Tribolium castaneum: one gene and its partners. The protein of the gene in region 1 interacts with the protein of each later gene in a pairwise test. Links are inferred from orthologs where the notes say so. Each region holds a gene or a part of one and is shown in the gene's direction. Other genes may lie near its edges.

What was found.
Region 2: the proteins of Ubx (region 1) and Cbp80 interact in binary tests that used the Drosophila melanogaster proteins (3 or more experiments, as listed by UniProt). The link is inferred for Tribolium castaneum from reciprocal best matches to the Drosophila melanogaster genes Ubx and Cbp80.
Region 3: the proteins of Ubx (region 1) and Smox interact in a two-hybrid assay, tested with the Drosophila melanogaster proteins (2 studies listed by BioGRID, with this or other methods). The link is inferred for Tribolium castaneum from reciprocal best matches to the Drosophila melanogaster genes Ubx and Smox.
Region 4: the proteins of Ubx (region 1) and armadillo segment polarity protein interact in a two-hybrid assay, tested with the Drosophila melanogaster proteins (2 studies listed by BioGRID). The link is inferred for Tribolium castaneum from reciprocal best matches to the Drosophila melanogaster genes Ubx and arm.
Region 5: the proteins of Ubx (region 1) and Su(H) interact in a protein complementation assay, tested with the Drosophila melanogaster proteins (2 studies listed by BioGRID). The link is inferred for Tribolium castaneum from reciprocal best matches to the Drosophila melanogaster genes Ubx and Su(H).
Region 6: the proteins of Ubx (region 1) and Mef2 interact in a protein complementation assay, tested with the Drosophila melanogaster proteins (2 studies listed by BioGRID). The link is inferred for Tribolium castaneum from reciprocal best matches to the Drosophila melanogaster genes Ubx and Mef2.
Region 7: the proteins of Ubx (region 1) and TfIIEbeta interact in a two-hybrid assay, tested with the Drosophila melanogaster proteins (2 studies listed by BioGRID, with this or other methods). The link is inferred for Tribolium castaneum from reciprocal best matches to the Drosophila melanogaster genes Ubx and TfIIEbeta.

What each region holds. Positions count from the first base shown.
Region 1 is NC_087397.1:7,100,887-7,105,186, reverse strand, and holds the start of Ubx (ultrabithorax), read left to right. Parts: upstream 1-1,500; coding exon 1,501-2,137; intron 2,138-4,300. UniProt on the Drosophila melanogaster protein: Sequence-specific transcription factor which is part of a developmental regulatory system that provides cells with specific positional identities on the anterior-posterior axis. Binds the consensus region 5'-TTAAT[GT][GA]-3'.
Region 2 is NC_087397.1:5,580,077-5,584,376, forward strand, and holds part of Cbp80 (nuclear cap-binding protein subunit 1), read left to right. Parts: coding exon of another isoform or gene 1-2,080; intron 2,081-2,150; coding exon of another isoform or gene 2,151-2,186; exon of another isoform or gene 2,187-2,300; intron 2,301-3,616; coding exon 3,617-3,855; intron 3,856-3,903; coding exon 3,904-4,300. Other genes in the region: mucin-2-like, read right to left, coding at 1-2,080, 2,151-2,186. UniProt on the Drosophila melanogaster protein: Component of the cap-binding complex (CBC), which binds cotranscriptionally to the 5'-cap of pre-mRNAs and is involved in various processes such as pre-mRNA splicing and RNA-mediated gene silencing (RNAi).
Region 3 is NC_087396.1:11,007,065-11,011,209, forward strand, and holds the start of Smox (mothers against decapentaplegic homolog 3), read left to right. Parts: upstream 1-1,345; 5' UTR 1,346-1,547; coding exon 1,548-1,756; intron 1,757-2,044; coding exon 2,045-2,247; intron 2,248-3,669; coding exon 3,670-3,799; intron 3,800-3,849; coding exon 3,850-4,145. Other genes in the region: dymeclin, read right to left, coding at 1-274, 323-469, 516-655.
Region 4 is NC_087395.1:16,182,140-16,185,639, forward strand, and holds part of armadillo segment polarity protein, read left to right. Parts: intron 1-1,873; coding exon 1,874-2,186; intron 2,187-2,238; coding exon 2,239-2,390; intron 2,391-2,534; coding exon 2,535-2,631; intron 2,632-2,803; coding exon 2,804-3,003; 3' UTR 3,004-3,500. UniProt on the Drosophila melanogaster protein: Isoform neural may associate with CadN and participate in the transmission of developmental information. Can associate with alpha-catenin.
Region 5 is NC_087398.1:4,884,059-4,888,148, reverse strand, and holds the start of Su(H) (suppressor of hairless protein), read left to right. Parts: upstream 1-1,290; 5' UTR 1,291-1,607; coding exon 1,608-2,453; intron 2,454-3,528; coding exon 3,529-4,090. Other genes in the region: DNA excision repair protein ERCC-5 homolog, read right to left, coding at 1-251, 311-486, 551-638. UniProt on the Drosophila melanogaster protein: Transcriptional regulator that plays a central role in Notch signaling, a signaling pathway involved in cell-cell communication that regulates a broad spectrum of cell-fate determinations.
Region 6 is NC_087403.1:6,203,276-6,206,775, reverse strand, and holds the end of Mef2 (myocyte-specific enhancer factor 2), read left to right. Parts: coding exon 1-200; intron 201-552; coding exon 553-711; intron 712-792; coding exon 793-1,158; intron 1,159-1,218; coding exon 1,219-1,728; 3' UTR 1,729-3,230; downstream 3,231-3,500. UniProt on the Drosophila melanogaster protein: Transcription factor that could be a key player in early mesoderm differentiation and may be required for subsequent cell fate specifications within the somatic and visceral/heart mesodermal layers.
Region 7 is NC_087396.1:10,271,664-10,275,642, reverse strand, and holds the start of TfIIEbeta (general transcription factor IIE subunit 2), read left to right. Parts: upstream 1-1,179; 5' UTR 1,180-1,294; coding exon 1,295-1,356; intron 1,357-1,411; coding exon 1,412-1,513; intron 1,514-1,567; coding exon 1,568-1,730; intron 1,731-1,781; coding exon 1,782-1,982; intron 1,983-3,979.

The sequences.
Region 1 (4,300 bases):
TTTACTGTTTACTGAATAGAAATTTATTACATTATTATTTGTTTTTATTTGTTTGAAGAAAATATTTATACATACCTAGATCCTAGATCTACTATTGTTGGGAGATTTTTGTAGTTAGAATAATTCCAGTAGAGACACTTCTATAATTTTTTTGAACTAATTAATCCGTTTGGAATGGGGTACGAGTATTTTTCGATGAGATTTGATTTGGATTAGGTATGTGCACGAAGAAAAAACGGTCCAAAATAATTTAGTTTTATTAGTTTGAATGTTTTTCGGGCAGTAAAATTTACAAAAGCACATTCATTCAAATGCAATTTAAGTTTATTGTATTTTGGGAACACAGAAAAGTAGGTACATTAAGGTAGTATATTAAAACCCTTACTCGAAAATGAGCAACAATTAACTTTAGCTTTGGTTTTTATACCGACATGGTACAGTGTAAGATGAAGTCAAAAAAGCGAGAATGTTTTAATAGGTACCTGAAGCAGTAACAAAGGGCTGAATGCATACCGCTCTTTATACAGCCTAAAAACATTTAAAAAAATGGAGTGTTTCTTTGATTTTAACTTGTTTAGCGGTTGGAGTCTGATTTGTTGCCTAAAAAATCAAGTGCGATGAAAAGTTACAGAACAAGATCTTATCTACCCGTCGTCAATAAATCTTACTGTTTTAGTTGAATATTAATATAAAATTACGTACTGTTTTTAGAAATTGTGAATTTAATTGTTTTAACAAACCAAATAGACATTAAAATTGTGATGCAGAATGCAAAAAAATAATAAATAAAATAAGCTTTCCTTTTTGTACTTTAACGGTGAATATATTGAGGGTTTGGCAGCGGAATCAGAGTATTTTAAATGTAGCGTTTACTTTTCGATGATTTTGTTTATATTGGTGGTGTGATGGTCGTTTTATCTTTTATTGGCAATTGATGTTGCTCGTTTCGGCAAGAGTGTCGTTTTGAAAGGTTGAGCAATTGTCCGAGAGCTGGCGCCACGCGCCTCCCCTCTTCGTCTCGTTGGGGGCCACTTGCGCAATGCTTGAAGGCTGTGACGAATTCAATTGCTATTGGTTCATGTATGATCCCTTCCATTAGAGCGTCTTCGTGTAGAAGCACGTGCTCTAGGGGTTATTACGGCCTTCGCGACCCTTCTGGAGGAAACCTAGCCTTTGGAGAAGCCGGTCAGGCGCTAATTAGGTGCGACCGTGTCCGATCGGCCGACAATACAGGTAGCTGCAATAATGAGCCGCGTGCTCGTCCGGAGTGGGGGGAGAGGGGAGCGATGGGCCGGGATGTGTGGGCCGGAGCAGACTCCGGAGCTCCAGTGGGTTCCCATCCGCGAGCAAAGTAGCCAACGTGTGCATTCCGGAGCGAGCTGCTGTGTGGTGTGCTCGTGCGAGCTCTTATCACCTTATCACTCTCGCTAATAACAATAATAATAATCGTGTGACTGTCATGTCCGGTTCCGGTGTCGAGTGACTTGTGCCGCCCCCAGCATGAACTCTTACTTCGAGCAGAGCGGCTTCTACGGCAGCCACCACCACCAGAGCGGGTCGGTGGCGGGCCACCACCACGAGCAGTCGGCGGCGGCGGCGGCGGCCTACCGCTCCTTCCCGCTGTCGCTCGGCATGTCCCCGTACGCCTCCAGCCAGCACCACCACCACCACCTGCAGGCGCGGCCCCCGCAGGACTCGCCGTACGACGCCTCGGTGGCGGCCGCCTGCAAGCTCTACTCCTCCGAGGGCCAGCAGAACTCCAACTACTCCTCCAACTCGAAGCCGGACTGCTCCAAAGGCAACGCCGACCAGAACGGATACGCCTCGGTGGTGGCGGCGGCCGCGGTCAAGGACGTTTGGCAAAGTGCGACTTCTGGCGGTGGCGCTAATCTCACGAACAGTTTGACGGGGCCGGTCAGGCCGGCGGCATGCACGCCGGACTCCAGGGTTGGCTACGGGTCGGTCGGGCTCGTCGGCGGAGATCCGGCCTCGAGTCCGGGGGCGGCCGCAGGACGGACGGGCAACTCGCTCTCGTGGAATAACCCCTGCAGTATCAACTCGACCTCTTCGCAGCCCGTTGGCACGCAGATACACCAGCAGACCAACCACACGTTTTACCCCTGGATGGCCATTGCAGGTTGGTGATAGGTCTAAGCCTACGGACTCCTGCTGCGGACGCTATTTGCAGGAAACGCGCTAACTCCGGCCGAATCGCACGCCGTTCAAACGTGCACCACACTGTAACATTTCAAAAGCACAAACCAAAAATGTTTCATTCATTGCTGTGACACTAAAAAAATGTCATTTCAAAATACCAAACGTGAAAATAATAGTCGTTTCTAAACACATAGTGCGAATCAAAAGTCAAGAATAAATTTTTTTGGCGGGAGATTTTTTTAAAAATTTCGAGCAAACTGTTTGTTTCCGGGTTTTTATTGTACCTACTTTTTGGACCACCACGGTTCAAGTTACGATTTTATTAACTAGTTATATTTAAAGACAGTATGTTTAGTTACGACTTTTTTTATTTATATCTCCATTAAAAAAATAATAGTTAATAATAATTAATTAAGAAACGAACTTTTTACATAATAAATGTTCTAAATAGTTTTGCCGAAAAACAGATTTTTAGTAAGTTTGTAAACGATTTTTTAACTGAATATCTTTCTAGTCGTCCGGAAAATGATTTATATTAATGATTAAATAAATTATTTATCTGTATCTATTTTTCCTAAATTTCTGGTGGGTATTCTTTGATTCAAAAATAAATTTCTTGGCACAATATGACGAACCGTTTTATTTTATTATTTGTGATTCATCTTCGTCGTCTGCTTCCTCTATTTTCTAAAATTAAAATTTTATATAATTTCAGTCGATAGTAAAGTACGTTAAATTAGTAATTTATTTGGGAATGTTAAAGTTGCCGACGTACAACACCATAAATTTTGTTTATTTTTTCAATGATTTGTCATTCATAATTTGTGCCTTATTTATTGCCGCTGGAACTACTTAATTATCTATTGCAAAATAAAATAAATTTGAATAAACAAAATTTTTTGTGCTAATTGTTGCCCTTTGGCCCGTGCGCGCGATGTCCGCACCTCAAAGTTATGTAAATGTTGAACCTGCAGCGAAGTCAAGTGCGTGTAAAATCAGGGTTGAATTGCCACATCTCTGTCCCTCAGTCGAATTTCTCTGTTCTCGTCCTCGTCGAACAAATCGGGTCCTTGTCAGAGCACGAGGGACGATCAGCTGTTCGCCTATTTGGCCGTCTAGACGCCTTTGAAATGAGCACGTCCTATATTCCCGTAAAAAAATCGTCCGCTTTGACCAAAATAATCCGTGTTTTGAGTTCGGCGTTCGTAATTCTCAAGTCTTGGGTCAATGGAATATAATTTGGTTAAGGTCGTTTCATATTTCGGGAGGACATCGCTAACGAGCCGACAAAAAATTTCGTTCGGTCGTTATTGCGAGACGCTCTATTCATACGCTGGAGAGTAATGAGTTGATGGCGAACTCTAATGTTCAAAGGTATATCTTTTCGAAATTACTACAACGTCGCTGAAGAATTATTGATTGAAGAAGCGGCTGTGGTTTTCACGGGCCGCCGATTGCTTAAATTGTTTTTATTTATAGTTTGATTTATTAGCGCTATTGCCGCCAACGCACGATCTACTACACTTATGTTATCGCGCTATACAGGGAGGACGATTAAAAGCGTGTTCGGAGATGATTCCGACGGATTTTATTTATTAGAGAAACTCGTATGTCAAAGTTCAATCTTCTATAACAACATCATAAATTCGCAAAATTTGCATAAAGCTACAACGTTCTTTTATTTTATTTCATTTTATTAACATAACAGGACGGAAATGGGAAAAGTACCAAAATTTTTCAAATTTTTCCTGACTAAAAAAAATTGGCAACTGTAACATGATCCCATAGTGTTGGGCACGTCACTCAGATGGCGCCCTCATCCACTTTCATAATTTAACCAGAGGGGTCCGTCAGGTACAAGGGGCCGACCCTCGCCTGTTCAAAAAGTGCCATTCAATATGAGCGCTTCCTTATTTTTCGTATAAGACTTTGAGAGCGTTCCACTCTGTATATTTCCTCATTCACATGATAATTCCTTCGTCTACCGCGCCGGAGTCCCGGACTTGTCCCGAATTGTGCCGGACTCAGTCCGGATGAGCGATGACGTATTACCGTGGCCCAGTCAGTTACACCCCCTTTTGTATTTTGCTCGCTACGGACCGCACCAAAAACATTTGCTTGTTTCTTCCACCAAGGTATTAGC
Region 2 (4,300 bases), about 1.5 Mb from region 1:
GGATTGTGAATTTTTGTTGCGTTACTGTTGTTTTTGGCTTTGATTCGAAATAAAATTCCGTGACTGTGGTGGGTTTAGGGTGGGTTGTCACAGATTCGGGTTCTCCTAAAGTGGTACCATAACTCGTTCGACTCCGAGTGGTCGTAGGTACTATCTCTGGTATAGTGGTTTCATAACTGGGTGTTTTTGCTATTGTCTCGTACGTATTTTTCGGGTGAGTTGTAGTGGGTACCGCCTCTACTACAGTCGTACCATAACTAGTTGACAGGTATGGAGTTGTGATAGGTACCGCCTCTATGATAGTAGAACCTTGCAGGGTTGTGACTGGTACAGCTTCTACTATAGTAGTTGAACCATATGGAGTTGTAGTGGGTATTGTTTGGATTGTGGTAGTAGTTTTAGGACTACTTGAAGTGTGTAGCGTTCTAACTGGTACTTCTTCTACTAGAGTCGTTCTGTAACTAGTTTTGGGGCTAGACGGTGGTAGAAAAGTAGTGCCTTGATTGGTTGAAGTGTGCAAAGTTCTGACTGGCACTGCTTCTATCACAGTGGTTCCATAACTGGTGGTTTTGGGGCTGGATGATGTGGAAAAAGTGGTATCATGACCAGTTGTAGGTCGTAAAGTTCGAACGGGTACTGCTTCTATTACTGTGGTTTCATAACTACTAGTCTTGGGGCTAGACGATGGTAGAAAAGTGGTTGACGTGTGCAGAGTTCTGACGGGAACTGCTTCTATTATAGTAGTTGTTTTGGGGCTAGTCGAAGTGGTTTTGGGACTGGTTGAAGTGTGTAAAGTCCTAACGGGTACCGCCTCAATCACCGTACTACTTTTCGGTACAGTGGTATAAAACGTAGTACTTTTAACCCTCTCGGTCGTAAAGGGCCCAATAATTGTAGTTTTCTGCTCTGTATACGGTACTTTTTCAATTGTGGTACTTTCTTCTTTCCTAACCGAAGGTTGAGTCGTGGTAACGTACGGAATTGTAGTTTCAACGTTTCGATCAGGGGCTGGAAGTTGTTCACTGATTGAATCCGGTCGTGTGTGTTTCGGAACTTCCGTAACCGGTTTCATCGGTTCGGTTGGACTAACCGGGAACAAATTAACTCGTTCTTCACTTGTCGTAATTTTTTTCGTAGTAGTTGTGCGTAACGCCTCCGAAAAAATATCAAAACTCTCGTCTTGTTTTTCCGTTGTTGTCTCAACCGGAGTGTAATAATGAATGGTTGTGATGGGTTTCGGCGACTTTGTATAACTTTGGGTCGGTAAAGTCGTAATCGGGATTAATTGTCCTTCACTTACGACAAAAGTCGTAGTCGTAGGAGTCGTAACTGAGAATCGGTGAGGCCCACTTGATGTTTTCGCCGCCAATGACTCGATCAATTTTTTGTACAGTTCGTATTCTTTTGGATCGATTGTTGTTTGGTCGTGGTATGAAGTGAAAAATCCGGGAAAACTGTGCAACACGTGTTTGTACCCATCCGGGGTCATTTGTATTAAAATTCCGGGTTTGTAGTGTCCATGATCTTCCTCTTTCTTGAACCACTCTTTTTGTCCAACTGTGTTCACACCCGGATCGCTCTTAATCACGAAAATGTGTCCCGGGACGTTATAGTTAAAAAACCCATGTCTTTTGACCAAATCCTCGCTGATGGTGTGCGTGATGGGCGAAATCGTGTACTCGATTTCGTACACGTGCCCATAATGGGGGTCCCGATGTCTTATCCGCTTCACCGTCCACAGTGCGAGTAGTTTATGGTGACCGAAGGTTTTCCACTGGCATTGGGGCGACGTGAGGCATCTTTGACAATCACAGTCCACGTCTTGAACAAATTTGAAACCTTCAGGGGTTATGTAGAGTTGTCCTCGTGCCAGAACGGCGATGTCTCCGAAAGGACTTGCGTCGTCCTGTCGGTTGATAAAAGGGGCTGCCAGGAGGCGGTCGCGGAGCCCCGGGTCGGTGTAGTGTTCCCGGAGGAGGGCCTGATGCACGGACTCACGCAGCCCCAATTCCCAGTCGGTGGGAGGATGAAAGTTTCGCACGGGTCGAGTGATTGATACAGTTTCCCATAGTTGGAGAGTCTGAAAATGAGAGTTTTCATTTTTTAATAACCTTGGACTTGAATGGGATTGTTAGTCGTGGTAAAATTACCAAGAGTAAAATGAAGATTATTTCGAAGTGTCCCATTTTAGACCCACTGGGTGTTTGCAAATGTTTGAAAGCTGCACATGTCACTAGTTCGCTCGGTTTCTTACAACTAAATCTTTTTACTTAGAGAGATTGAAGAGTACCCCACCGATGATCCTAGAAGCTTTCGACATAATTGCTAATACATTGTCTACTTTTCTGCGCACTGATGAATATTAATTATTTTTTTCTTGTGTGTGCAATGTGCATATTATATTACTTAATTTAGACACATGCCAAGATAATTATCTCGGGGTTTTAAGAAAAAACCCGAATTATTATTTTCGGACAAGTTAATTTGGCACGACAGTAATTAACTAAAATGACTCTCATTAACAATGAAGTTTTGAAATTTTTATTAAGAGTGATGGGTTTGTTAAAATTAAACCTTCGGAAAAAGTATTGTCCGAAGTGAGATTTTTTAATTAAAAATTTATTAGCAAGGTTTTATTGGCAATTCTATGATGAATTTGTATTGTCGCAACATCTTGATAATTGCATTTTCATTACGATAAATAATGGACTCGCACTTTTAATTTAATTTATTTTTTACCTTCTTCTTTGATGGTGGATTTTTGTTGATTTAATTTCTGCAAAAACATTTTTTTTCTTTATGTTACTCGAAGGAAAATAGAGAAATTTTATTTTCACCGAAAAGCGTGGCTAATTGAAACCTTGTGGTGTTACCTAAGACCCTATTTGCGTAAAATTCAGTACTTGAGGTAGAATATTTTCATTTTTATTGCACAAATTCATTACCTTTGATTTAATCTCCGCGTTATGAAACCAGAGATGTTTACGATCGTTCTTATTTTTTTCTTTTAATTCGTAATTTTGCTCACGAATCTTCAGTTTCACCTTGAACTTAATTGCTCTGAAAAGAACCGATTTTAAGTCAGCGGCGATATCGCAAAGTCGCATCTTTACGCTTGGAGATTTCGAAACGAAAAACAATAACGAAAGTGCATGTTACACGATGAAGATTACAATTGTTTGAAACAATCATCACAATGAGCAAATTTGACATAATGGTCACGGTATGAAGTGATTCTTGTAATTTAAAGGAAAAAGTCCGAAAGTAAAACGTGCGTGAATTTGACCAATTAACACGAGAAAATAGCTATACATTGCAGCTTGCGTAAGAAAGGGATACGATTATATGCGTTCGAGAAAAAACGAACGTTTCCGTTATGATTACTTGCAACAATATTGGATTTTCTGGTCGGTGGTCTTCCGCTATTATTAATTTTTCTTTTCCGTTTCGGTTTGCGGAAAACAATTTTGTTGTATTAAACGGATTGTTTTTTTGAATAATTCATTTATTTAAAGTGGAACGGAGGATTATGAGGAGTTGTGAAAAAATCCAGCTTCCGTCGTGGCGAAACCAAAATTATGAAATTTTTTGTCATGCATAACAAATCGTGTTTTAGCGTCACTTCCGGGTACTACGGCTGCCCATCAATTGGTGGTGTCAATACGTCAGAAGTGCACCCCCGAGGAGGTCCTAGGGGTGCTTAAGGACCTCCCAAACCCCCGTTCAGAAGAAGAGACTGATAGCAGATTTAATCCTCTCAAAATCGACGTTTTTGTGCAAACTCTACTCAACTTAGGGTCGAAGAGCTTCTCGCACAGTTTTGCAGCGATTTCCAAGTTTCTTTACGTTTTTAAGGTACTCAGGCTTGAACATTTGTGTCTTAAATCACTTTTTTTTTGATAGATTTTAGCAGAGTCGGAGGAAGCTCAAATTTGCGTTTTACGAAACATGTTCGAATTGTGGCACCACCACCAACAAATGATGGTCGTTTTAGTTGACAAAATGTTGAAAATTCAAATTGTCGAGTGTTCAGCGGTCGCTAATTGGATTTTTTCCAAAGAGATGACGGCCGAATTCACCAAAATGTACTTGTGGGAAATTTTACATCTGACTATTAAAAAAATGAACAGACACGTGATTAAGCTAGGGGGTGAACTAGCTGAAGCTAGAGAGAAACTAGCACGGGCTGAAAGCAGCGAAAGTGAGTCTGAAGATGAGGATTCGAAGAAGAAGCAATCTGATAACGAGAAACCAACTGAAGAGTATGTTGAAAGGATGGAAGAGAAGTTGGAAGCGGCAC
Region 3 (4,145 bases), on another chromosome or scaffold:
GCTTTGGTCTGACTTTCGCCCTGAATGTAATTGCACTGATAAAAATACTAGAAGTGTGGTAATGGCCTCGAGGTGTATGCCATACGTGGCATCTGTAACTTCAACATCGACGATAACTTTAACTAGAGCGTCTACGAAAGTCTCAAGTCTTGTCCCATTGCCGTTTACTTCAATTTGCTCTATTAGCTGCTCCTCAGTCACGGTTTCGCAAAGAAACTTAACAATGCAGCGAATAATGAACAGAATGTTAAATAACTGCCAAATGAATAAGCTTCTAAAACGAGAATTATGAGGAGAAGTTAACGAAATGGAAAGTTATTACGCGTCGGTGTTGGTGGCAGTCAAAAGCTCGGTAGCTCGGGACAAGAACACGTCAATAATTGAACCCAAATTTCCTGAGGTGTGGTTATTTTTCAGCAACAGTTGGCAAAGGTTTTCAATTTTTGACTCTAACGCTAGCTGGTCATTACTAAAACAAACAGTCGTGTTTCGTCTAGCGTTTGGTGTAAGTAAACCTTGTCATAGGTGGAGAAATGTTGAAAGCCACCAGTCGGTTCCAAAAGGGGTCATTTTGTGATATCGCTTGAGTGCTTACAAATTTAAGTAAATAATCATTCGTGGACAATTCAAAATTTTTGCTAACAGCCGTACCCATTTCTACAAAGACCGAATTTTGTCAAAACGTTTTTTGTAAGCAACGGTGTTTATACTCACTTATTTACGCTCAATTTTAATGTATAACGCACACCATTAACATTTTTTCCATAAATTTGCTAGGACATAACCTTATCGTAAAAAGTAAACACGTCACCTGTCAAATGACATTTGAACGAACGACGCCACTGAAGGATCATCAAGCTGAGAAAAGTAGAGCGCTGGGGCTCCACAAATGAATGGAATCTGTGACGGAATGATTCTTTTTTGTTTTTTATATTTTTATTTATGCATTTTTAATAATTTTTACAATTTAAATGGGTTGAAATAACAACAATTGTTATTTCTTACACAAGTGCTGCGCTGGTGATTTAATACATTTTAAATTTAAATGCCTTCTTTGATCTCACTCGATCTTTTAAGTTTTGAAAGATTCGAATTCGTAATTTTATCTTGATTATAAATAATAGGTTCAATAAAGAAATGATTTTTAGATTAGGAAGAATATAAAAAAACTGTCTTTTTGTCACTGAACTGTTGCTATTGGGTTTAAAACCTTGTCTTTAAGGCAATATTCGAGGAATGTAAACAGTGTCTTGGACCACGTTTTCGCGACGCCACTGGTTTGGAATAGTTTTGTGTGCGCGCATGCGTAAAAATTGTTAACACAACACACGTGCGTCCTTTTTTGTTAGTTTTTAAATGTGGGGAAAGAAGACAGATGACGCAAATGAGGCTGTGCTTATTTCGCGTGGAGCGACAATCATCGTCCGCCTGTCAAAGAACAATATGGCAGTGGTAAAGCAATAATTTTTGTAAAATTTTTGGCAAGTTTTCTCTGTGAAAATTGGTGATATCCGTGTGCGTGAATTTTTGTAACTCGTGGTTGTTTGATGGTGATGAGTGGGATGCTCCCGTCGTTCACGCCGCCCGTCGTAAAGCGATTACTGGGATGGAAAAAAGGCACTGACGCCGATGACAGATGGTGTGAGAAGGCCGTCAAGAGTTTAGTCAAGAAACTGAAAAAATCGGGCGCTTTGGAGGAGCTAGAACGAGCGATTTCGTCACAGAATCATAATACGAAATGCGTCACAATTCCTAGGTGAGTTTTGGGCCTCGCAGTCTGCTCATGCACCAAGTTTAAGGTCATAGGTATTATGGATTTGTTTAGATCCCCTCACCGCACCACGTCTGGCTTGCGACCTACCCTAAATGTCTGCAAAATGTGCTGGTTGGGCCCGTTCTCACACCACTGTTGCCCAAATTGCGCAATTTTAATTCCAGCTTCCTGTCCCTCATAATTCGCTCAAATCTCGCGCACATAGCAGTTGAAATTACTTTTATTATTTTTAACTTGCATCATTGGCGCTGATTTATTGATCATTTGTAGAGTTCGGCCGGCTGCTGAATTAGGCAACGTCCAGCAACAGAGGAAGGGTTTGCCCCACGTTATTTACTGCCGGCTGTGGAGATGGCCTGAGCTGCAATCGCACCATGAACTCAGACCTCTCGAAAACTGCGAATACGCGTACAATTTAAAAAAGGAGGAAGTCTGTGTCAATCCATACCACTATACTAGAATTGAAAGCCCAGGTATTATTTATGTTATGTCCAGAGTTTTCCAGATTTACAAAAACTAATGCACTTAACAGTTTCAAATTTGAAGAGAAAACAAGCTTGTAGAAACCCGGCAGTTCCATAAATTCGTAATAAATCCTTCAAATAATTAAATATTTATTCAAAAGACTGTTTAGATTTTATGTATAATTTCGAAACAATAATTAATTTATGTATATGCGCAACAGGTAGATAAGTTAACAGTATCTTATTTCTTAAAACAGCTTTCTAGGTGGAAATGTTGAACTACGTTTGCATTTGTATTCTTTTACCAAAGATAGAGTATAAATAAGTAGTAATAATTACTATAATTTGGCATTTATTAAAGTCGTGTTATGACTTCGTTTTATCAGCGATTAGCAGCTAGATGTGCTTATTAAAATTAAAATGTGCTTATATTTTGACTGGAAACTTTTAATTTTGTTTAACAATTCGATATTTTTCAGTATATTTTTTATTTTAAATAAATTCGCTTGATAATTATGTTAAAACTTTTCTACATAAACACACATTTATTATTAATTTCACTGTATCTTTTTGTACAAAGTGTTTAACTTTTTACAGCAAGTATGTTTTTTTTCTTTAGCAATTTGAGCACTGCAACAGGATATGGTTTTGCTTTACGAATACATGATATAGCGTCTGACAAAAGTATGGAACCAAGCGTTTTTGCTTGAACTATTTATGTTACGAAAAAAAATCCGTACTATCTACGTTAGCAAGTCTGTTAAAAATAATGTAGAGACATTGCATGTGCTTATTTGTAAAGATGTTTTAGAGGTTGCACCGTTTGTAAAAAGTTTGTAAAAGTAAAAATATGGTGGAAATCGTAAAATACAGTTCGTAAACCTAAATGAATTAAGCATTTGAATTATTGATTTAGGCATTTGAACGGTTTGGGACTACGTAATGTATATTTTGGAACTTATCACGATTTTCTACATAACAATAGCCTATTAAATTTTATATTTAAATTCTTAGCTAAAAATTGCACCAAAAACCACCATCGACCGTATTTTTTTTTAAAAATGGAGCTCTTTGTATGCTGTTATGTTGAAAACGTTTCACTCGGATTCTGATTTCTTTACCATTCTTATTTTTGTTAAACTTTTACCGTCATTGTAATTATAAAGAATTGCATTTTTAGATGAAGTAATTTTGTAATTTTTAATAAGTTATCGCTTAACCTTGACATGTCATGTATGTTTGTTTTTATTTCATTTCACTAATCAGCAACACGGAATTATGCAAATTCGATTATTTTGTAACATCCGGTCTGAAAAAATAAGGAAGAGAAACAGGTTTTATTAATGTTTTTGGGTGTTTATTGGCACATTTATTCATAAATTGAAGCGATTCAATTTAGTCTATTAAAAATTGATTTTATTTCCTCAACAGCCCTCCCAGCCATTTTAGTCCCCCGCCATCCACTCAGCGACGAAAACAACTTGTTTCCGCATTCGCTGGAAGACCTCAGCACGTCTGTGCCCGAAAACACGTCATTTCCTCACAATCCAAATAGTCTAGGGTATTTTTTCCCTCTTTTGCTGAAACTTTTAATTTGGTGGGCAATTTCAGTTTGCATATGCAACATTCTGGGGGTTACATGGATGCGGTTGGTATTTGCCCGAATGGCGCTCCTGCAAATATGGAATCTCCCCACAATGCTGCCCCACCTACTGAAACTCCTCCACCTGGTTATATGTCCGAAGATGGTGATCCGATTGATCCTAACGATAACATGAGCATGTCCAGGATAACGCCTAGTCCTCCCGTGGACGCGCAGCCTGTACTTTACTGTGAACCCGCTTTTTGGTGCAGTATCAGCTACTACGAGCTGAACACACGAGTAGGGGAAACGTTTCACGCTAGCC
Region 4 (3,500 bases), on another chromosome or scaffold:
TAATTTTTTCATTACAATTAATGAAGCCTCTAACTTACAGTTAGAATCTTAGGGTGTTATAGAAGTTAATTTTAGCATCAACTATGTTGAATAGTTTTTCTTCTTGGAAGGTAAATTTTCATTCTATCTGTCAAGTAAATTAGCCAAGAATTTTGGCTAGTTTACTAACTAGCCAAGGTTACACATTAGCCATAACATAACTACCTTTTCGGATTAAATGAGAAACAAATTCGTTTTATTATTGGGTGTTTGAGCTTGTGAGAGCCAAAAACTCTCCAATAACATTCTGAATTAAACAAAACTATTATGTTTATTAAGGGTAGTCTAACTCTCCGATGAGATTTCAAATATGCCCCTTAGATTTGCTCTTACCGATAACCAGGAATACATTTTTTCGGTTTTTAGGTCTAAGGGCTGTTGGGTCATGAAAAGTCTTAACTTAACGAAAATAAAACAGTGATGAAAACACAGTTTCTATATCAAAACGCATGTTGTAAATCGGAAGCCGATATCATAAGGTCCAAGGTTTTAAAAATTCAGTCGCAACGTCCAAATTGATAGACGACAAATAAATTAAGATAGAAGATAGTGACACTAAAGTTTTCGAGAAAATTTTATTAGCTGCTCCATTCGGGCAAACGACATACTTAATAAACAATTATTAATTTTAATACTGGTAATTCACTTAAACGTCTTAAAGACCCTTTGATAGACGATATAAACTTTTTAGCAAAATAGAAAATTTAAAATTGTTGGTAACTTGGAAATTCTAGATGTTCCATTGTGAACCATCTAAATTTCTTAGTAACATTAAGGATTAAGAACATGTATGAGCCCAGTTTCCGTTTGATTGGCCCAAGTTTTACAAATACAAAAAATTTATAAATAATGTTAGATAATATAGATTTTTCTTATAAAAATTAAAAAAAGCAGTGTATACATGTTCATATCCTAACATGTATGTCATGGCGAATAAGTCTTCATAAACTTAATACCTATATTTTACTGTTTGGAATAAACATAGCCACATTTATGACGTCGTTATTATTTTTTGAGTAATTTTGTTTGCTGTTTTTCTTTATTTTTTTTAGTTATTTTTGGAAAACTAAAAGTGTATATATTATGCAAAACAGTAGAAAAATGTAGGTTGTCATTAGTTTTATTTACACAAAACATTTTTTCCTGTTTAAAAAAACTGAAAAACAATAGTGCATATTTTTTTTAATTGAAACACCTTGGTAGATTTTACATTTTTACACTCACAAAATAGTCAATTTTTCAGAAATTGTACAACTTTTGAAGATACGAACTGGGTATAATATTCATTACATTATGTTACGTTCAGCAAATTCAGATATTTTTATTTGTTTACATTTACTTTGACAACTAAATAAATATTTTTTATAAACATTAAAAATAGTTAAGCGCCATACAGTTTTGGATTTTCAGTTCGTATAAAAAATTAGTTTGATTTTAGTCCATTTAGAAGAAAAATGTTGTCTAAATCTAAATTCAAAAGCAGTTTTTTTTAATAACATCGTGTCACATTTTTATTTTTTTGGTGAAATTATCTAGCGCCCTTTTAAAACTGCGTAAATAAGGTACTGGATGCTGTCTTGAATTATGATAAATATCAAAAAATATATTTTAATTCAAAAAGTGTCCAAATCAAATTTTTGCCAGGAGCAGACTGCCCTTAATACAAAGTTATTTTGTGACTACTCTTCGTCTCTTCTCGGTTTTGTGCGTAATTAGGCTCCGCCCATGTGGGTACTTATCGCTTTATACACCCTAAAGATGTGAAATTAATTTGTATTAATTAACTGTTTAGCACCGTATTAGGGTATGTATCAAGTTGTTTTTTTTTTAACAGAGGTCGAGTGTGGCGAGCGGCGGCAGCCAGCAAGCCTCGAGTTACGCCGATGGCGTACGAATGGAGGAGATCGTCGAAGGGACAGTGGGGGCGTTGCACATATTGGCTCGGGAATCCCACAACAGGGCCATTATACGCCAACAAATGGTTATACCAATATTTGTTCAGTTGCTTTTTAACGATATTGAAAATATCCAACGTGTGGCAGCTGGGGTGTTGTGCGAATTGGCGGCTGATAAAGAAGGGGCGGAAATGATCGAGCAAGAGGGCGCCACATCGCCACTAACCGAATTGCTTCATTCCCGAAACGAAGGTTCATACATACTTTTTCCTAATTGTTGAATTTTAATTGTAAATTATTGAAGGGGTGGCTACGTACGCTGCCGCAGTATTATTTAGGATGAGCGAGGACAAGCCACAAGACTACAAAAAACGGCTCAGTATGGAACTGACAAATTCGCTGTTCCGGGAGGAGAATTTGTGGAATCCGGATCTGGGCATCGATCCTGATTTACAGGTATTTTTTTGTTTTGTTATTGCTTTTTCAAAATTTAAAGGTAAGTTCACTGGTCGTAGAATTTACTGTTTTTTTTTTGGTTTGCTTGAAGCCTGACTTTTGGCAATTTTTGTTTTGTTTGCATTTTGTCACTGATCATTCTAGGACATTTTGAGTCCTGACCAAGCATATGATACAATGTATGCCCAAGGACCCCCTAGTGTGCACAGCAATCACGGTGGACGGCCGTACCAACAGCAAGGTAATTGACACGCACATTTCACACTAATTCACTAAAAACACTAATCACCGAAAGCGAGACAATAACAGACAAGTCAGCTAACATATGGGTAATAATTTTGCATGCAGTTGTTTGGTTGAACGCATGCTCTTTGGATGTTATGGAAATTGTACTGATTTTGTGGTTTCGCTAGGGTATGACCAGATACCAATAGATATGCAAGGGCTAGAGATTGGGTCGCACGCTGGCGGGAACGGGTCGACGTACAGCCAGATTGAAGCCATGGATGTAGCCAATGGCGACCCCGACATCAACTTTGACCCAATTAATCAATTACCTGCACCTCCCCAAGACAACAATCAAGTTGCAGCATGGTACGATACCGATTTATAATACCTTCCTCGATGTCTTTTGTTTGATGAAATTAGACATTTTCATTTTATTTTTCTTGATAATCCCAAATGCGACACTAGGAAGTTTCGTTGTTAAAATACTATAGTGTACCTATTTATAATTTATTAGCAAGTATGTATAAAATATCATATACGTGTATAAGTTTCGGTTGTATAATATTGAGTCTGATTTGTTTAAAATAAAAAAATACATTTTATGCTGTCTGATTATTATCAAAGAGCTAAAACACAATGCTGATTTTTGACTGATGTGTTATGGTTGTCGTTTACAAAAATATCTAAATGTGATTGTACAAAATAAATCGTCATGTACCGTTTTCTTTTTTATTAATAAAAGTGTTGGTATATTATTTGTTTTTTATTTTGTTGTGAGTGCTGCTGCTACTATTGCCGTTTTATGTAACGTCAAAGGTGTAGTGTTAACATTGTGTTTTAATTCTTATCATATTTAAACAATTTCATGAACAGGGTAGAACT
Region 5 (4,090 bases), on another chromosome or scaffold:
CCCGAGTCTTCCGAATCCGAGTCACTTTGTGACAATGTGGAGTCGAGAGACTGGGACGGGGGCAAGGCGTAAAGCTCGTCATCGTCTTGTTTTGATTTTTTAGTGGGAGAAGTTGAGGCGGTTATTGCCGCTTTGGCTTTTTCGGACAAGACTTTGCTAATCGCGGTGTGTTTGACTAAGGCTGATAGGAGGTTTTTGTGGATGCGGTCCGCCTCGGACAAGGTTTTGGACTTTTGCTGGTTGCGTAACGCCTGGGAATTTGCGGGAAAATGCAACTGAGGTTATGTTTTTTTCTCATTATTTTACTCACTATGGTTTGTCTTTTGAGAACTGGGACGCCTCCGTCGAAGACAAACACCGGCTTGATTCTGAAATAGAGTAATTTGCATACTCTGTGGTAGATCCCCAGCAGGTGCGCATGGGGGACGGCGGCCCCCTTGGCGTCCTGGAACCCCTTGACGATTTGGTGCAACCAAATCGAGACATCTGTCAGATTGCGTTAAGGTTATAACCGATCAAGCGTGACGTTTGAAATGTCAATAAAGGATACCGACAGCTAACACTTTGTTTTCGAGAGATTCCAGAGGCACGGGTTTGCCGGAAGGCTCGATGAGCCTCCACAGACCGTGAACTCCCATAATATATTTTCTGGTAAATAATTCGAGGCGTCTGATGGAAAAAATTCCCACGGTCTGAGGCGGCGATGAACGACCGCGACACGAACGTCAGTCAGTTCCCATGATTTAGATGCGAAGAATCATCAAATCAGAGGAAAACAGACCTAATCTCGTCCAGCGGTCTGAATTACATCTCTCAGTATCAAATGTTTGAGAATCGCCGAGGCCACCCACTCTTTCCCACACCATGATTTTCCCACGCCCTGGCTGTAACCCCAACATCCTGCGGGAGGGCAGGGGGGCGGCGCTAAAGGCACCTTCACAAGGGAGGGGACCCATTCATAAACACGCGGCCAGTGGCGTGCGCCCAAACGCCAATAAAACCACCACATTCTTTTGTCAGGCAGCGGCGCCGCGAACTTCCTAATACTGCTATCTTTGTTAGAACTTTTTAGTTTTCTTCTTTTTAGAAATAAACATTATTTATAATAATAATTGGCACCTAATTAGATCAATTAGATTAGGTATCAAGGTAGAAAATCCCTCACTAGGATTAATCCTCCAGTGGCGTCTCGCCTCCGCCCCTGTTGTGTCATCCACTACCGTTTTACGCGTGTTAGGTGTAAACCCGCCTTAACGCTACCAAAATTACATAATTTTCAGCGACCGCCGCGCCCGCCCCGCCCGCCCCGCCCATGGCCCATGCAGACCCATCAGCCCATCTTGGGCCCTCTTGAGCGTTAAAAAATTCCAAGAACGCGTTAATTCGGGCACTTCCTGTGAAAACTCGCCTTTTGAAAGTTGGCCATCCTGTCGGAAAATCCTCTCTCCAAACAGGTGTTTTTCGAATGAGATACGGGGGGCAAAGGAGGGGGAAGCATGGCATTTGTTCTCACCGTGTGTTGCGGTAGCCGTGCGAAGAGTTGGCTGTGAGTGCATCGATAAAACAAACGCCAGTGCGATGCGGCCTACTTGATTAAGTGTTTCGAAATGCCCCATCAGTACGGATTGCCGGGCATAGCCCACGCTCAGTCGCCCCCGACGCCGCCGCCGCAGCACGGGGCCATGTACTCGCGGTTCTCGGGGGCGGTGGTGCCCGGGGGCTACCGCGGCGAGGACCGGCGGCTGACCCGGGAGGCCATGGAGCGGTATCTGCGGGACCGGTCCGACATGGTCATCGTGATTTTGCACGCCAAGGTGGCGCAGAAGTCCTACGGGAATGAGAAGAGGTTTTTCTGTCCGCCCCCTTGCATTTATCTGTTCGGGGACGGCTGGAGGCTGCGCCAGGAGCAGATGCTGCGGGAGGGCGAGTCCGAGCAGGCCTCGCAGTTATGCGCTTTCATAGGGATTGGGAACTCGGACCAGGACATGCAGCAGCTGGATTTGAATAATGGGAAGCAGTATTGTGCCGCGAAAACTCTCTACATCTCCGATTCGGACAAGAGGAAACACTTTATGTTGTCCGTGAAGATGTTCTACGGGTCGGGGCACGACATCGGGGTGTTTCATAGCAAAAGAATCAAAGTTATCTCGAAGCCTTCAAAGAAGAAACAATCGTTGAAAAACGCGGATTTGTGTATTGCGAGTGGTACCAAAGTGGCGCTTTTTAACAGACTTAGATCTCAGACTGTCTCCACGCGGTATCTGCACGTGGAAAATGGACATTTTCATGCCAGTTCCACACAGTGGGGTGCTTTCACTATACACTTGTTAGACGACAATGAATCTGAAAGTGAGGAGTTTCAAGTACGGGATGGGTACATTCATTACGGTTCTACAGTCAAACTGGTGTGTTCTGTCACCGGAATGGCCCTCCCGAGACTTATCATTCGAAAGGTACGTTTGAAAAAAACATCAACAAAAAATTGAGGTTATGATTCGGCAACATGTCAATCTTTATATTCCCCATAATTACGCAAAGGAACGCTCCCTGCAAGCAGTTACGGCCATACCATGACCGAATTCAGACAAAATAATGATTTTCCAGATGATTCATTGCACAAAATTCGATATTTCGATACAAATGTTGACCCAGCCCGTGATTGGCCCATTTGAGAACACATGTCGGTTCCCATCCTATCAAAACTCGCCGCTCACGCGGGCGATTCGAAGCCTATTTTGGGGAAAGAAAAACCTACTAAAATAATACAAACTATTGTAATTTTCAAGAAACACAAAATATTATGTTTTTTCAGCCATTAAAATTACAAATGTGCTTTCTTAATACTCATAATAATAATTAAATATTTCACCACGTCATTGACTTTCTTATGCTGGATGTTCAAGATTTTTTTTTTTGTCATAATTTCGTCCGCATATCATTTTTAATGCCTTTAAAAAGCATAACATGCCTCTCGACAACATCAGATTTCTCCCTAGTCTTCCTACGCTAATTACGAATAAACTCTTAATACTCTTTTTCACCGACCTCATCAGAAAATATCGTAAAGAAAGAAAGCTAATTTCTCGCCAAAATGTCAGAAGAAGCCCCAAATCTTTATTTTGTTTCTACATTTGGTGATTCTCTACTACGCTCTGCAGGACTTGGAATCCGCCGATTTTGAGACACCTTGTATTTATTCTTTATCTTACTTACACTTTAAGGAACCCGTTGAAATACAGCTACATTATTATTAGAATTATTTAAGTTGTGTATAATTTGACAGTTCTCCAGTTACGATTTATCTTTACTTGGTCAAGTATTAATTGAAAAAATTGTGATTGAAACTTCCTATAATTCCTGACGGTATTTTTTTTATTTTCCACTTTTTTACGTTTGTACAGGTCATCGTATTGCAAATTTTTAACGTATTGTAATATAATTGTTCTCTTCTCTTTGTGGCGTCTTTTTTTGTTTCGTAGTTTGTGTTTTTTGGTTCAATTTTGTAAAGCGTTTGTTGTTTTGGTCCAGGTGGACAAGCAGCAGGCGCTCCTCGAAGCCGACGACCCCGTGTCCCAGCTGCACAAATGCGCCTTTTACATGAAAGACACCGAACGCATGTACCTCTGCCTCTCCCAAGAGCGCATCATCCAGTTCCAGGCCACCCCTTGCCCCAAAGAGCCCAACAAGGAGATGATCAACGACGGCGCCTGCTGGACCATCATCTCCACCGACAAGGCCGAGTACCAGTTCTACGAGGGCATGGGCCCCGTGCGCTCCCCCGTGACCCCCGTGCCCATCGTGCACAGCCTGCACTTGAACGGCGGCGGCGAAGTGGCGATGCTGGAGCTCACGGGCGACAACTTCTCGCCGTCCCTGCAGGTGTGGTTCGGGGACGTGGAGGCCGAGACCATGTACCGGTGCCAGGAGTCCATGCTGTGCGTGGTCCCGGACATCTCGCAGTTCCGGGGCGAGTGGCTGTGGGTGCGGCAGCCGACCCAGGTCCCGGTCTCCTTGGTGCGGAACGACGGGATTATCTATGCCACGGGGTTGACGTTCACGTATACGCCGGAGCCGGGGCCCCGACCGCAGT
Region 6 (3,500 bases), on another chromosome or scaffold:
CTTTCAACAAGCGGAAGTTCGGCGTGATGAAGAAAGCTTACGAACTCTCGGTTTTGTGTGACTGCGAGATCGCGCTTATCATCTTCAGCAGCAGCAACAAATTGTACCAGTACGCGAGTACGGACATGGACAAAGTGCTGCTGAAATACACCGAATACAACGAGCCCCATGAGTCTCTCACCAACAAAAATATTATCGAGGTACATCAAACCCAGCAGCAACTATGCCCGATACTTGGCTGATGCAAACACGATAACTGTGTTTATTTTACTGTTGATTTTTTTTTCGATTCGTACCTTTTTATTATTCACTGATAACTTTCGAAAACCTAACACGTTATTGTTTTGTTGTGCTTATTATTTACTAAGTTATCGAATCGCTGCATTTGCCTGTTATTTACGCGAGTTGTTGCTTCAGTTTTGAGACCCTAACTTGTAATGCTAGTTACGTGTGGTAGAGACTCTTTAACTAGAGGTGATTAGAACGTGTGGTGTGTGTATGATAGCCCCAGAGGCTGCGTTATTCCATGAGCTGGTCCACTGACACTTGCAGGCACTTAATAAGAAAGAGCATAAGAACGGAGTGATGAGTCCTGACAGTCCCGAGCCGGAGACGGAGTACCAGTTGACGCCGCGGACCGAGGCCAAGTACAGCAAAATCGACGAGGAATTTCAAATGATGCTTCAAAGAAACCAAATCAATGGACAGAGGGTACGTCTAGTTATTTGAATTGGTTTATTTCGCGTCGCGTCGTCTTGAACGTGAACTTAATGATTTTTTGTTTGGTTATAGGTTAGCATGAGCTCTTCGAATTATACGCAACCCGTATCGGTGCCTGTTAATATAAGTTATGGTGATTCTGGTCTTCTTCAATCTAGTCCGCAAATGGCTCATACTAGTATTAGTCCCCGACCGTCTTCTTCTGAAACAGATTCGGTTTATCCGAGCGGAGGAATGCCCGAGATGAGCAATGGTTATCCAAATTCAGCATCTCCAATGGATGGATCACCGTCCCCAGGACCAAGTCCAGGACCAGGTCTTAGTTCCTCAAAGCAGCATCCAAAACAACATTCACCCGGTCCGCGATCGAACCTCCGAGTCGTCATCCCTACGGCACTAGGACCAAGTATTACCCCGGAAGAAGTTTCATATGGAGAAGTAAGAATTTCTAAATTTGGGTCTTGACGACCGATTGTGTTTCCTTTGTTTGCTTTCCAGCACAATCGGACTCAATCGACTCTGAATACCCCCGTGGTGGCGCTGCAGACTCCCGGTTTGTCGAATTACCCCGGTACTTTGAGTTCGTTCGGCGCTCAGGATTTCAGTATGGGGGCCGATATGGGCTTGAGTTCAATATCCTGGAGCGGTCATCAGATTTCGACGTCTTTGACACACACAAGTAACTGCTTGCCGCATTTGGCAGTGTCGAGCAGCACACCACCGCCGTCGTCATCTTCACCGATACCTGTGAAAATAAAGAGTGAACCGATATCGCCTCCTCGAGAACATCATCCGCATCTGAGTGTGGGTGTCCACCATTCGCACGTACAGAGCTTGAACTTGACGCACAGTCACCATCCGAGGCCCAGTTCTGCCGGTCATATAACGCCGACTCCTGGAAGTGTCACGCCGACGAATTTGCCGTCGCCGACGGGGCCGCCAAGCGGGGGTGATTACGAGAATATTCAGATGCATAAGCGAGCAAGACTCTCAGACTGGCCATCCTAGACCGGCGGCGGCGGTGGCGGCGGCGGCGCACAAGACGCTAAGTGCCATAGTGATAACGTGTGGATAACCGAACGCGTTTCTATTGCCAATTGTCATCTATGTGATAAACTACGAGTCTAGTAAAACTGGATATTTTATGAAATTTGTAGTCATTTATCAGTGAAACATACATAAAAACGATTTTGTAGAGAGAAAGGGAGAGAGAGCGCAGCGCGAGAGAGGATCAGATTTATATAGAATGGGTTAGTGTGGTGAGTGTGTCGTGGTTGTTCCAGTCAGCGACAGCGTTATATGCTGGCGCCAACATTTGTTCTCAGAAACAAACATAATATATAGTGCCATTATTTTCTTGTAATTATTAGTGTCTTTTTTATAAATGTTTTTAGATAAATAGTATATTATTTATAATGTACACTTGTTAATTTAGCGAGGATGCAGCCACTAACAAACATATTGAGACTATGCAGGACACTACTCTTGTTATGTATTGGTGCTTTCCCCAACCTGATCGGATGTACTCTGTCCACTGGCTGTTGGTGCGGACGGCTTGACAGACGCCGCGGCGGCTCTGCTTCGCCGGATTGACGCTGGCCGTCGGTCCGTCCGTCCGTCCGCCCGTCAATGTTGAATGTACTGTATTTGTACTGCTTCCCCATTGGAACCTAGAGTGTTCATTGTTGTAGCCTTTTCAATTTGTTTGTGATTTCAGAGTACGATATCTATTCTGTATATTGACCTACACAAATTAAATTATATAATTATACATTATATAATATATAGATATATTTTATCTACTGTTGTGTGCACAAACCTTGCACATAGTTTTATAGTTTAAATGTCGGTTCGACCCGGCTGTCCGTCTTCGCACGGATGACCCTATCTCCACTGAACTACTGTAGGATTGCCTTACTCACAGTGCCTCGACAGTATGTACGTATCTATTTGTGTACTACACCATTGGATGTCTTCAGTAAAAGCCATCTTAAGTCCGAATGCGCTGCGGTACATTTTCGTCGATAATTCACAGGGTATTGCGCCGTTCTACACTCCACTCTGCTGACTGGCACGTGCTAGTGCTAGTGCTAGACAGCTGCCGCTGCTTGTGCCTTCTTGTTAACCTGGTACCTTTCCGAACCCCCAACTGGCTTCCGTGTCACTGCACTACTGTCTCTTCTGTATGTTATTCTTTATTTATGTCAATGTTTTGACATGTCAGTTGACACGATTTTATTTAGTCGTTTTATGTTAAGCGGAACATTACGCCTCATTTTTAAATGGACGAAATACCCAGCTACATTATGTAAATATAGTTATATTTTATTGTAGCGTTGCCAATATTTGTTGATCATTTTACACCTCATCTTTCATTTTACATTTACATCATAAGGCATTATATTACGTCCATTTGACATAGGCATTTTTCAATCATGTGCAATATTAATCTGACGTTTATTTATCTATGATGTATTGAATTAAACCAAATAAAAAATTGTTTGTTACAATTTTAAGCCTACATTTATTTAACAACACATCTACATCCATCTTATCATTCCATCAACACTATATTCAAAATTATTAGTGTGGCAGGTAAATAAAAAAATTGCTTTGTTGTGCATTGTTATGCATTATGACTAAAGGACCTAATTATTGTAAACGCATGCGCTTTTGCTTCTCACAAAAATTGTTAACTGTAATATGCCGACTTTCAATTTTTCAAAGGTGCGCAAACAACGAAATTAAAAATAATCAAACGATTCTTTGGTGTCTCAATC
Region 7 (3,979 bases), on another chromosome or scaffold:
ATTTTAGTTATTATTATAAGTTATTTTTTAAGCAAAGTGAAGTGAAGGTTCGTATCAAAGATATCAATTACCTTGAAAATGTCAACATTAACACTTCTTTCGATAGCCAAAAGAGATAATGAAGACAACCTTTCTTGGCCAATCTTCCTAGTGTTCGTTTTCAACCGCCGCAAGCGAGAAAAAGACCTCTCACAAGATGTTGTGTTTATTGGAATCGCAAAAAATAAACATATAAAGGTCAAAAAGTAGAGGGAACATACTTTTCATAGCCCTTCAACAAAAATGTCGGCTCTTTCTTGGATAATTTTGTTTTTTCATTCTTCCATATTACAAATAATGTTGAGCTGAACAATTTTGGATGGCAATTGCCACCCCCAAATTACGCACTGCCCCAGGTAGTCTTAGCTGGGACAAAATTGTCTCAAAATTGGCGAATTATTCCGAGTTCAGAGCGTTGTAGAGTTCCGTAGCTTAAATGTATGAGAAGACACAAAATGAAGATTTACTTTGAATTGCGTTTTCTTCAAACGCGGGCTAAAAATTTTAGTGTTTATTGTTATTTATGGTGTTCTTAGATGATTGTAGAAAATAATAATTTAAAACTAATTAAAAAATTGTGTAATTTTTTTAGAAAAAATATTTTATTCATTCAACTTGTTTAATTTTTCTTAAAAATGTAACAACAAATTACAAAAACTTAATTTTTTTACACCAAAATAAAGCTATTTTTTAAGAAATCGACAATCGTTTTACATTATTATTCTCAACAATCATCTTCACCATAAATAAGAATAAACACTTAAACTTTTAGTCCGTATTTGAAGAAAACGCAGTGCAAAGAGAAAGTGATCTTCAAACCAAAGTAATGGGGAAGCCCCGAATCTTCATTTGGTTTCTACATTTGGACTACTGAAGCGATTCTTTACTATCTTTACAATGCTCTGAACTCGAAATTCGCAAATTTTGAGACAGCTTGCATTGTAAAACAAAAACCAAAAAACCTCCACACAGCAAGCTAGTAGTTGGCATCACATCCGATTAAAAACTAGAGTTAATTAACAACGATTATTACTACATATTTCTATAATTAGTAATTAATTAAATAATAATATTGCAAAAAAATATATAAAATTCGGTTCAAGGAACAGTCGGCCACAAAAGACAGACAGCGCAAGGCATCGGTCCCCCACCACTTGTCACTTTGACAGCCGTGAATGTCAAATGCAAAAGAAAACAGATGATTATTCCTCAAACAACATAGTTCGTATTATTTATTTATTATTTCTCCAATAAAATGGACCCCGCCTTACTAAAAGAAAGAGAATTATTCAAAAAACGTGCACTTACAACTCCTACGTAAGTAGCATTCGCATTTTGTCAACTTATTCAGTTAATTTTGTTCTACTTTCAGTGTAGAAAGAAAAAAGACTGATTCAAGACCAGAACCAACTCGCGATGATAGCAAAAGGTTTAAGTCTTCTAGTAGTAGCACCCCTAAACTTGATATCAACACGTAAGCAGCAAAACATTGCAAATTTGAATCAATTACTTTGTGATTTTTTTTTAGATACAAAACAGCAACAGGAAGTTCGCAATATCGATTCGGTGTTCTCGCTAAAATCGTGAAACATATGAGGAAGAGACACCAAGAAGGTGAAACATATCCACTCACATTAGAGGAAATTTTAGACGAAACTAATCAATTAGACGTAGGGAATAAAGTCAAGCAAGTAATTTTGTGTCATTATTACAATACTTAAATGTAATGGTGTTGATTTAAGTGGCTGCAAACCGAAGCGTTAGTCGATAATCCTAAAATTGAGGTCACTCCTGACGGAAAATTTTTATTCAAAGCTCCATATAAACTTAAAGACAGGAAAAGCTTACTGAAACTATTGAAACAACAAGATTTGAAAGGGTTAGGCGGTGTGTTGTTAGACGACGTGCAAGAGTCGTTACCACACTGCGAAAAGGCTTTGAAGGTATCATTCTTTTAGTTATTTTCTAAACGAACGACGTACAAATAAAACGTCTCCGACTTCAATATTTTCGGTAATGTCGCCAAAAAGCCCAGTTGACTATTTAAATAACTATTAACACAATTCAAAAAAATACAGGCACATAGAGCATTAAATTTTCAAGAGTAACAACTAAAAATAATGCAAAAATTTCAAACATATTAATTTGCAGTGTGACCCATATTTTTAAAACGCTGTTAATTTGGTTAAAGATACAAGAAAAATGTTAGGAACAAAGTAGTAGAAAAATCAATTTTCTACAAAAAAGTCCGCGACTATTTTTCTTTACAACTTTGTTCTTCACACTTCTTTATACCTTTAAACGTATTCGCTATGTTTTAAAAATTATAACGCGGATTGCAAATTGATAATAAATGTTTATATTTTTTTGCACTTTTAATTTAAATTAAAAACTTAATACAGAAAGAGTCAGAGATTAAGATAGTGGAAACACTTTATTGAAAACAGTGTCAAAAAATCGCATATTTATATATATGAAAACGCTGCGAATTCAACTAAAGATGTGTAAGAAGCATAGATGTAGAGAATTAAATTTCCTACAAAAAAGTCCGCCACATCTTCATTGGTTTAGGTATAAATTAATTTTCCAATACTTGACCATAAAATGAAACGAAACCGCTGTGTGAGCATTTTTAAACATTTTTGGGGCCTAAATAGTTGAAGATGTAGATATGGGGTCGTATGAATAAAGTTGAAGTATTTACTTAAAGTATGAGTATAAAGGAAAAGCATTTGCTCTTGCTTTTACTTCTTTAGTTTTTTGGAGAATCTGCTCTCAAAATAAATCATTGTAGTGAAGTTTTCAATGTTGTAATTTTTAAAATGGATTTCCATCTCCTCCCATTTCGTTGTTCTCACTCAAAAAATACCTAGCCAAAGCACGAAGATTTTTTCGTTCAAACCGATATAAAGTCTTAAAATCTTATCCTATGTGTTCGCGAGGTTGTTTATAAGTTTTTCTTACCCATAGTTGCACAACACCCACCATTGTTTCGAGTTTGAGGTGTTACTTTTAAAAATTGATGCTCCTACTGATTAGCGTCAACAATTTTGAACTAAATCCTCAACGAAAAAAGCATTTACTTTGTTTTATTCATTTTGTTTTGAGTAAAACCTCGACGTTCAAGCAAATACTCGCCCAGTGTGCTTTTACTTTTAGTAAAAACTTATACTTACATTTTTACTCATACAATTTAGAACATTTACTTGCAAAATTTGAAGTAAAAGCATTTACTCAATTGTATTCATACGGCCCTTGGTTTCGCAGATTTTTTAATAGCTATTTATTGTATAAGTGTTTTCGAAAGCATTTTATCCACGCAAGAATGTTTAATATTCTCAAGTGGATAAAATGCGACTAAAACATGAATGCAATACAATGTTTTATCCACAATCGTAAAATTAATCTTGGCAGGCTTTGTCTGGTAGTCATAATTCCTAGTTTATTCCACTAGTGGATAATAGGTCACTATAAGGCTAAAGGGGACGACAGAGTTAAACCAAGTGTGTGGCAAAGACAAGTAGTAATGAAATTTATTTTTCTACTTTTGGCGATATTTGTAATCCAATTTTAAATCGAAAAATGGAATTGACTCTTTTAAATAATTATAATTTGAGACAACGTAAGACTTTGAAAAAAAATTATTTGATATTTTTTTATTAAAAGTTTAAACAAATATTCATAATATTTTTAAAAATGTGTACGGGAAAGATGCACAGTGATGGTACGAACAGAATGCGTCCAAAAAACGAAAAATTTTGTTGTAGTTTTGAACGAATCGCGAATATTCATTTTGACAAAATTTGCCGCCGAGAATCTCCCACAGTCAAGTGCGGGACAAGAGAAAGAGAGGGCAAAAGCAACTAAAGACTAGAAGATGTAAAACACGATATTTCTGTATCCTAGTATTATTCATACAAACAATTATGGTGTTAATTCT